2 linked regions of the Macaca mulatta genome follow. The protein of the gene in region 1 purifies or fractionates together with the protein of each later gene. This does not show direct contact. Links are inferred from orthologs where the notes say so. Each region holds a gene or a part of one and is shown in the gene's direction. Other genes may lie near its edges.

The links.
Region 2: the proteins of SAP30 (region 1) and ING1 purify together in Homo sapiens (affinity purification with mass spectrometry; 6 studies listed by BioGRID and IntAct, with this or other methods). This does not show direct contact. The link is inferred for Macaca mulatta from reciprocal best matches to the Homo sapiens genes SAP30 and ING1.

The regions. Positions count from the first base shown.
Region 1 is NC_133410.1:181,801,690-181,805,652, forward strand, and holds the start of SAP30 (histone deacetylase complex subunit SAP30), read left to right. Parts: upstream 1-1,150; 5' UTR 1,151-1,371; coding exon 1,372-1,686; intron 1,687-3,551; coding exon 3,552-3,677; intron 3,678-3,963. UniProt on the Homo sapiens protein: Involved in the functional recruitment of the Sin3-histone deacetylase complex (HDAC) to a specific subset of N-CoR corepressor complexes. Capable of transcription repression by N-CoR.
Region 2 is NC_133422.1:105,125,823-105,129,835, forward strand, and holds the start of ING1 (inhibitor of growth protein 1), read left to right. Parts: upstream 1-1,206; 5' UTR 1,207-1,722; coding exon of another isoform or gene 1,723-1,726; 5' UTR 1,727-2,047; coding exon 2,048-2,195; exon of another isoform or gene 2,196-2,254; intron 2,255-4,013. UniProt on the Homo sapiens protein: Cooperates with p53/TP53 in the negative regulatory pathway of cell growth by modulating p53-dependent transcriptional activation. Implicated as a tumor suppressor gene.

The DNA.
Region 1 (3,963 bases):
CACGCCCATCCCTCGCCCCGCCCTCCACGAGCACCTCCCCCCGCATGCACGCACGGACATACACGCGTACGCGGGCACACACACGTACACACGCGCGCGCCCGCGAACACATACATATAAGCAAGAGCGCACAAACGCGGGCAGCATGCAGGGGCGCACGCGCCTGCCAGGTCTCAGGAAATGCGCTTTCTACTACCCGCGCCGGTAGAGCTAATGCAGGGAAGTTTCTGGGAACAGTCGAGCAGCGTTTGTATTGGTGAGGTTCCAAGTCTCCTTTAAAATGATACGACTCCGCCCTTCTCCAAAACCGTTTGAGGAGAAATGGAAAAGGTTGGGCGTGGAGGTGAAAAGGAGCCCTGTTGTCAGCTGGTCCGTACTCCACCTCAGGAGGCGGCCAACTCCGTGCGTCCAAGAATAAACACATTTCCCTTGTAGGAACATGCAAGGGTTTAGAAACGCCCCCCTGCCCCCCGCGAGGCGTTTGTGAGGGGGACCTGTCACAGTTGAAAAGTCAGGATGGGCGTTTTCCTCCCAGGAGGTGCCCTACTAATTTGCTGCCTCGATAGTTGGTCAAGCCGGGATGTTAGCTGCGGAACCTCCAGGACCGAAGAGCGCCAATTCTCCTGAGTTCTCCTTGGTTTGGGTTTCCCACAAAAGCGCGGTCACACCAAAAGCTGTGTTTCCACAAATGCGAAACGGCCTCGAAACTTTTTTTTCCGCACACGCTCACTTCCCACACCACTCCCATCCCTTTATGTTTCGCCTCAGGAATCGAGTAACTTCTCTGAAACCCAATTCTACGAAATCCCAGCAGCTAAACACAGCCCGACTTCCCTAGAGACAGAGAGAGAGAAAACACTGTAAACCCCAATCACACGCTCCTGTTTTCCCGGTACTGAAAAAAAAAAAAAAAGTGGGTCCGTGGCCGCGCTATGCATGCTAGGATTAGTAGTTCCTCCATCTCGCAGGGCGAAGGGTCAGGGCGGAGCTCAGGTTGACTCCGTAGCAGACAACTACAATTCCCATGGGGCCGCGCGTTTGAAAGAAAGGGGCGGGACGGGAGGGGGCGCGTCGCGCTTGCGCAGTCCCGGGGGCCGGAGGGAGGCGGAGGCGTAGCGGTCCAACTGCTGAAGTCCCCATGTGACAGTGAGCGGGGTCCCGGCTCCAGAAGACGCTAGAGTCTGCGTCCGGGCCCTCAGCACTGTCCACTGTTCCGGGGCCAGCAGAGACCAGCAGGCCCGGGACGGTTGGTGTTTGACCGTGCCGCTAACTTGGTGTACAGAGTGAATTGCCGCTGCCGGAGCGGAGAGAGGCGGAGCGGCCAGGAGAGAGGGGATTTGTGTCAGCGCCGGCGCTCGGGAGCTCGGAGACATGAACGGCTTCACGCCTGACGAGATGAGCCGCGGCGGAGATGCGGCCGCTGCAGTGGCCGCCGTAGTCGCTGCCGCGGCCGCCGCCGCCTCCGCGGGGAACGGGACTGGCGCGGGCGCCGGGGCTGAGGTGCCGGGCGCGGGGACGGTCTCAGTGGCTGGGCCCCCGGGGGCGGCCGGGCCGGGCCCAGGGCAACTGTGCTGCCTGCGGGAGGATGGTGAGCGCTGCGGCCGGGCGGCAGGCAACGCCAGCTTCAGCAAGAGGATCCAGAAGAGCATCTCCCAGAAGAAGGTGAAGATCGAGCTGGATAAGAGCGTAAGTAACCGCGGGATCGCCCTGCCCTCCTGTCCCCTGGTGGGGCCCCAGGAGTCGGGCAAAGGCACGGATTGTCGGCGGGGTCTCCCAGACCTGGCTGCAGTGCGGTCTCGTGGAGTCTGTGTTTGGAAGCAAATAACAAAGTCGCTGCAACTCCGACCGCCACCCCAACACACACACAACACGCACGCTGTCGTTCCCCTTTTCTTTCCCACCCTGCCCCCAGCCTCCCGCTGCCTGCGACTCTCCCGCGCACTGTCTTCCCTCTTCCTTCTCCTCTGCGACCAGGACACGAAACAAAGGGGACCGCCGGACCGAGGGCCCAGAGTAGTTTTCTTGCAGCCCGGCAGCTCTTCTGGAATGGAGGCGCCTTTGTTTCGCTGCCCAAGCTGGTGTTTGGCCCCAGGCGGTGCTAACTCCCCTGGTCTAGGGGAAAGTGGAGGACCTTCGCGATCAAGGAAGATCCTGTTCCTTTCTGTGCTCCGTCTCCTCCGGAGCGGAGTGAGAGGGAAGCCGAGCTCGCCCGCCGCCTGGCAGTGAGCCGGGGCTGTAAACGGCGTTTGCGCTGTCAGCTCCGAGGGCAGCTGCTCCGATGGTGGGGAGCACGTAGCCTCTGCGGTTTTGCCATCCCCTTGGCAGCCATCAGGATTTCTTTTTTCCTCCTCCTGCGCGTCTTTTCGTTTGACCATCTAACAGCCGTTGCTACTTTTGGGAGATCTGGCTAGCGGTAAATGAATAACATGGTATCAAGAACCTACCACAAGTCCTGCGTATTTTTATCTTGCGCTTGGCTTCGAAGTAAATGTAAAAGCCTGTTAGCTCAGTCCGTATTTGTTTCAAATGTTAGTCTACAGTTCGCAGGAGTGTGTGTAATTAAAGTTTTTGAAAAGTTTATTTGTGATACTTTTTTGCCCGTTTAAACAGTTTTCAGTGTTATCCGTGAGAAACTTTTCAGGTGAACTTGCATAATTTCAGATTGCTTTGGGAAAATGTGTTATAAATAAATACATTGATTTAATTTAATATTCAGAAAAGTTGATAACTGAAATTTAAATATAGTTATGAAGTCGATAGCTCATTTGTAAAAACGGATGGTTTTGTATCCGGAATATAATTTGGGCATTCAGTTGGAAAGACTGGAAAGCATACATTATGTTACAAAAATATGCTCTTCTTTAAGTAGAGAAAGTACTGTCAAGTAGCAAAAGTGGGCAGCATCATCTTTCCCCTTAACAGTTAAAAATTCAACATGAACTAATTCATGTCATCCTCACTGCTATTTATTTATTTATTTATTTATGTGAGACAAAGTCTCACTCTGTTGCCCAGGCTGGAGTGCAGTGGCGCGATCTCAGCTCACTGCAACCTCCACCCACCAGGTTCAAGTGATTCTCCTGCGGTAGCCTCCTGAGTAGCTAGGATTACAGACTAGTGCCACCACGCCCGCCCAATTTTTTGTATTTTTAGTAGAGACGGGATTTCACCATTTTGGCCAGGCTTGTGTGGAACTCCTGAGCTCAAGAGGTGCTGGGATTACAGGCGTGAGCCACCGCGCCCGGCCCCTCACTGCAATTTGATGCCAAAACCCAGAGGGTTGGAATTTCTCATTCTCCTCTCCCTCCCTCCCTTCACCCCTTCCCCAAATGGAACCAACCCCTCCTTCCCCATCCACCATCCTTTTAACAGTATTCCAGACTTCTTATGTTTTAACAGGGTTTAGGATTTAAATGTATAAATATTTCATTGTGTTAACAATGGCCATCTTGACTGTCTTTATTTTTACTATCTGTGGCATATGTGTTTTACTAATACATAGACACATTTTACTGTAATCATTAGCAGTGTGTGAAACTTTTCTGTTTCAGGCAAGGCATCTTTACATATGTGATTATCATAAAAACTTAATTCAGAGTGTTCGAAACAGAAGAAAGAGAAAAGGGAGTGATGATGATGGAGGTGATTCACCTGTTCAAGATATTGATACCCCAGAGGTAAATGGAAGTTTTTTATGCTTAATATAAATCCTAAGTAGTGCATTCTGAAACCTTTATAAAAAGATATGAACAATCTTTTAAGTGTTTAAAACATTTGAGAAATCTGAAAATGAAAGCAAAATTAAATATAGCCAGTTGTCATGCATTTACACAGTTTGAATTGTTACATTTTAAATTGACAATTTTTGCGGCTCTGTTGTCACATAACTTACTCTTTTTTGACCTCAGTTTATATTATTAATCCCCAAAAGATTAAACTGTTTAATAATTTATAGGTTTGATT
Region 2 (4,013 bases), on another chromosome or scaffold:
GGCGGCGGCCGCTGCGCTGGGCCCTCTCCCGCCGGTGTGTGCGCGCTCGTACGCGCGGCCCCCAGCGCCAGCCCCGCCGCCTGAGAGGGGGCCTGCGCCGCCGGCCGGGGCGTGCGCCCGGGAGCCACCGCCACCGCGGCCCGCGCCCCCAGGCGCTGGGGTACCCGCGGACCCGGAGGCGGCGGACGGGCTCGGCAGATGTAGCCGCCGGTCCGGAGCAGGAGCCGGCGGGGGGCGCCGGGAGAGCGAGGGCTTTGCATTTTGCAGTGCTATTTTTTCAGGGGGGCGGGGGGTGGAGGAAGCGGAAAGCCGCGCCGAGTCGCCGGGGACCTCCGGGGTGAACCATGTTGAGTCCTGCCAACGGGGAGCAGCTCCACCTGGTGAACTATGTGGAGGACTACCTGGACTCCATCGAGTCCCTGCCTTTCGACTTGCAGAGAAATGTCTCGCTGATGCGGGAGATCGACGCGAAATACCAAGGTACGGCCGGGTGATGGATGGGCGGGGGCGGCCGCCTCCATCCCGGCGGGTCCGGGCGCGCCGCGGAGCCGGCCCGGTCCTGCCGTGGAGCGGAGGAAGCGGCCGGCTCCGCAGCGGCGGCCCTCGGCAGGGGCAGGAACAAAAGGTCTGGAGCGCCTTTGATTCGCCAAGGTCCTTGTGTGCAAAGCCCGGGACACGGAGGAGGAAGGAGGCGCGAGAGGTCTCGCTGCAAGGCTGCGCGACCAAAGCGCTCTTTGTAGTGAAGTGATGAGGCGGGTGCTGCGGGGGAGGGGGCGGCGGGTCCAAGCCGCGTCCTCTAGGAGGGGGTGCAGATTACGGCGCGAGATGGAGGGATGTGCCGGCGCCTGGGGCTGTAGGACGCCGAGATGTGGCTGAAGGAGGAGGGCGGCTGTGGGCCGGGGTTCCCGCGGACCCGGTGCCTCGGTCCGGAGCAACGCCGCTCCCCTGGCCCTTCTTCGCCGCCCCCCACCCAGTCCCCAATCCGAGTGTTACATAAAGTACCGGGTAGTACTCCGTTCGGGGTAGCTCGGTCGCCCCCGCCCAGTCCCCTCCGGCCCTCACTTGGCACTGGACACCGAGTAAGGGCCGACTGCGAGGGGAGACGCCGCCGGTTGTAGTTTGCGGAGGACGAGGGTTTTTCTCTGTGTGCCGTGGGGAAGGGAAGGGGAGGAGCGGAGGCGGGGAAGGCGCCCATCTGCGCAGCGCTGCGCTCGGGGGGGCGCGGGCAGATCGCTGGGTTGGAGAGGATTGTGGCAGATGAGAGGACCTGTGGGTCGTTCTCTACAGACCTGGCCGCCCAGGGTGTCAGAGAGAGGTGGCGAGTTCGTGTCCGCCGGGAATTGTTGGCTGTTGGGGAAAGTTTTCTGCGAGGTCAGTCAAGGCTTTGGGGGCTCTGTTTTGAATGTGGATCACCACTCCGAGTTTACTAATGTTTACAAAGCTACGCAGTAGGGAAACGGAAGAGTTAGGTGGGGGCAAAAAAAATCCATCGCCATGCCCGAAAGCACCAGATACCCCTACCGGGAAGGCGCCCCTGCGCGCTCTATCCAAGACGTAGCTTCGCAGCTTCTTTTATAGGAATCTCATTAGCATATTGTGGAACGTCCCGCCTCAGCCTTCCGGTGGTTGGCTGTGACGTCCTTCGTGGAATGTCCTTATCATTCCCCTGCGGAACGATTGGTCGCTGAGGCGGATGAAGGCGGGTGTAGCGCAATAACTGGCATGGGTCTGTGTTTCCGCTGTCTTCTTTTTTCTTTTTCGGGGAGGAGCGGGGTGGAGTGTGGTTGATTTGAACGTCTTCGGGTCGCTCGGCCTCCAGCCTCGGATTGGGCCTTGTCGCTGCTGGGGCGGGCTGTGCTCTTCCGCCTTGCGGTGTGGTTGGTTCTCCTCCTGGCCTCCGCCCTCCAAATCGGCGATTCCCATATGCGGCGGCTCTCGGGGGGCGCGGCGAGTCTCCTGCTGGCCTCCTCCCCATTGGCTGGAGGGCCGGCTGGTGTCGCCCAGGCCCCTCTCTCCACTCAGCACTGCCACTTTTGGGCGCGGAGTTATGGCAGTAACGGGGACCCCAGGGCTGGGGGCTCGGGGCCGGGGCTGCAGTTCGGGCCGCCTCCCGCGACCCGCGAGACCGGCCCGCAGACAGTCCCAGGCCGCATCTTTGCTGACCCGAGGGAGGGGCCGCGCGTGGCCGGGGAAACGTGAGTGACTGGGGCTGCGTCCACGAGCGGGACCCTCGGCGCGGGAACTTTCCTGGAAGGTGCTGTCCTCGGGGCGGGCGGGCTCCGTGGAGTGACCCTGGGGCTCCGGACGGAAGGGAGGCAGGGGCTGAGACCACTCTGATCGTTCAACGATAGAAAAAAGCGCGGGGCGGGGTGCAGGGTCCCAGCCGTCAAGACAGCAAAGTTCACGGAGCCACTTTGTTCTCCTGTCGTTGCTGGGGAGAGCCTGGCTTGCTGCTTGCTTCAGGTTCACCTAGGATGATGAACTTTTTGGCTTCAGGAAAGATCACAGTCCCGCCCCTGGGGGAGTACTGGAGCCGTGCAACTGGTAGCGCTGAGAAGCGCGAGAATCTGTCGCAAGGGTCACAGCTCCTTGGACTTCGCTGTAAATGCTGAGCTCTGCCGCGTAGTTCTGAAAGACGAAGCTTGTTTTCACAGATCTACTCTACAGGAAGTCAGACGTCTTTTGCTTAGTAGGCATCGGTTGTCTGTTAATTCGTAAACATGGATTATAATTAGTTTATCGATTTAAAATGGTGTTTGAGATTGCTTGAATTATTTTTCAAACATTATTATAAAAATACCTACCCACCCCCTGGGAAGTCCGCTTCATAAAGAATTTCAGGGCAACCCTTACGTAAAATTAAAATACATTTAAAATAATTGGACAAACCAATTTCAATGTTGCTACAATCTCATTTAATCTGTAAATTCCATGTGTTGCTGCTTTCCATGGTAATGTTGGTGTGGAGTATGTTTGGAAGAAAGGTAGCAGTGTGTCTGAAGCTGAGTTGCTGGCATTCAAGGAGCAGAGTGTCTGGAAGGATGGCTTCCTATTTCGCAGTGGTGGTGTTCCTGTCTATAAATATTTGTACTTAGTGGTTTTGTTGATAAAATACTTTGTTTGGGGTATCAAAGAACTATTAGGTAACAGAAATACTTCTTGGTAATTTTGCAATGGGATATCTGTTTCTCTTCCCCACAAATTAGGCTTCGTCTGGATGGAAGCTTGCTTGTGATGCCAAATAACCTCTATGTTATTAAATTTTAAATTTATATGATGGTTTTCTTTTCCATCAAATGACAATACTGTCTTTAGAACTTTGATTACTGATGAAAAGAAGTGATACCATTTTATAAGCCTAAATCCATTTAAAAATAAATGGTACACACTCATATTTTAACATCTATGATAAATAAGTTGGATAAATTGGTATTACTTGGATACGTTGAACACAGCTATTTATTTTTATAATTAGTGACTATATGAGACTAGGGCATTCCTCCTGGTGGCAGGCAGCCTGCATTGTTCTTCTAGGAAATGTCTTCAGAGCTGTCTTTAGTTTGAGAATATACTCTGGAAAATAATACCATTTAGAGAAGCTTCAGCGTTGGCCCAACTTCTTATGTTTACTCTAGTGTTAGGTATATATCTTATAACTATTTGGAGATAAGATCTGGAAAGGGAGGGGGTACCATTTTAGACAATCCCTCCCACTCCCAGCCCCTCCCCATACCCTTCCTAGTTTACAAGTAGTATTGTTGGCCTGGCACGGTGGCTCACTCCTGTAATCCCAGCACTTTCCGAAGCTGAGGCAGGCGGATCACGAGGTCGAGAGTTGGGAGACCAGCCTGACCAACATGGAGAAAACCCTGTCTACTGAAAATACTGGGCGTGGTGTTGCATGCCTGTAATCCCAGCTACTCGGGAGGCTGAGGCAGGAGAATCGCTTGAACCTGGGAGGCCAAGGTTGCAGTGAGCCGAGATCGCGCCATTGCACTCCAGCCTGGGCAACA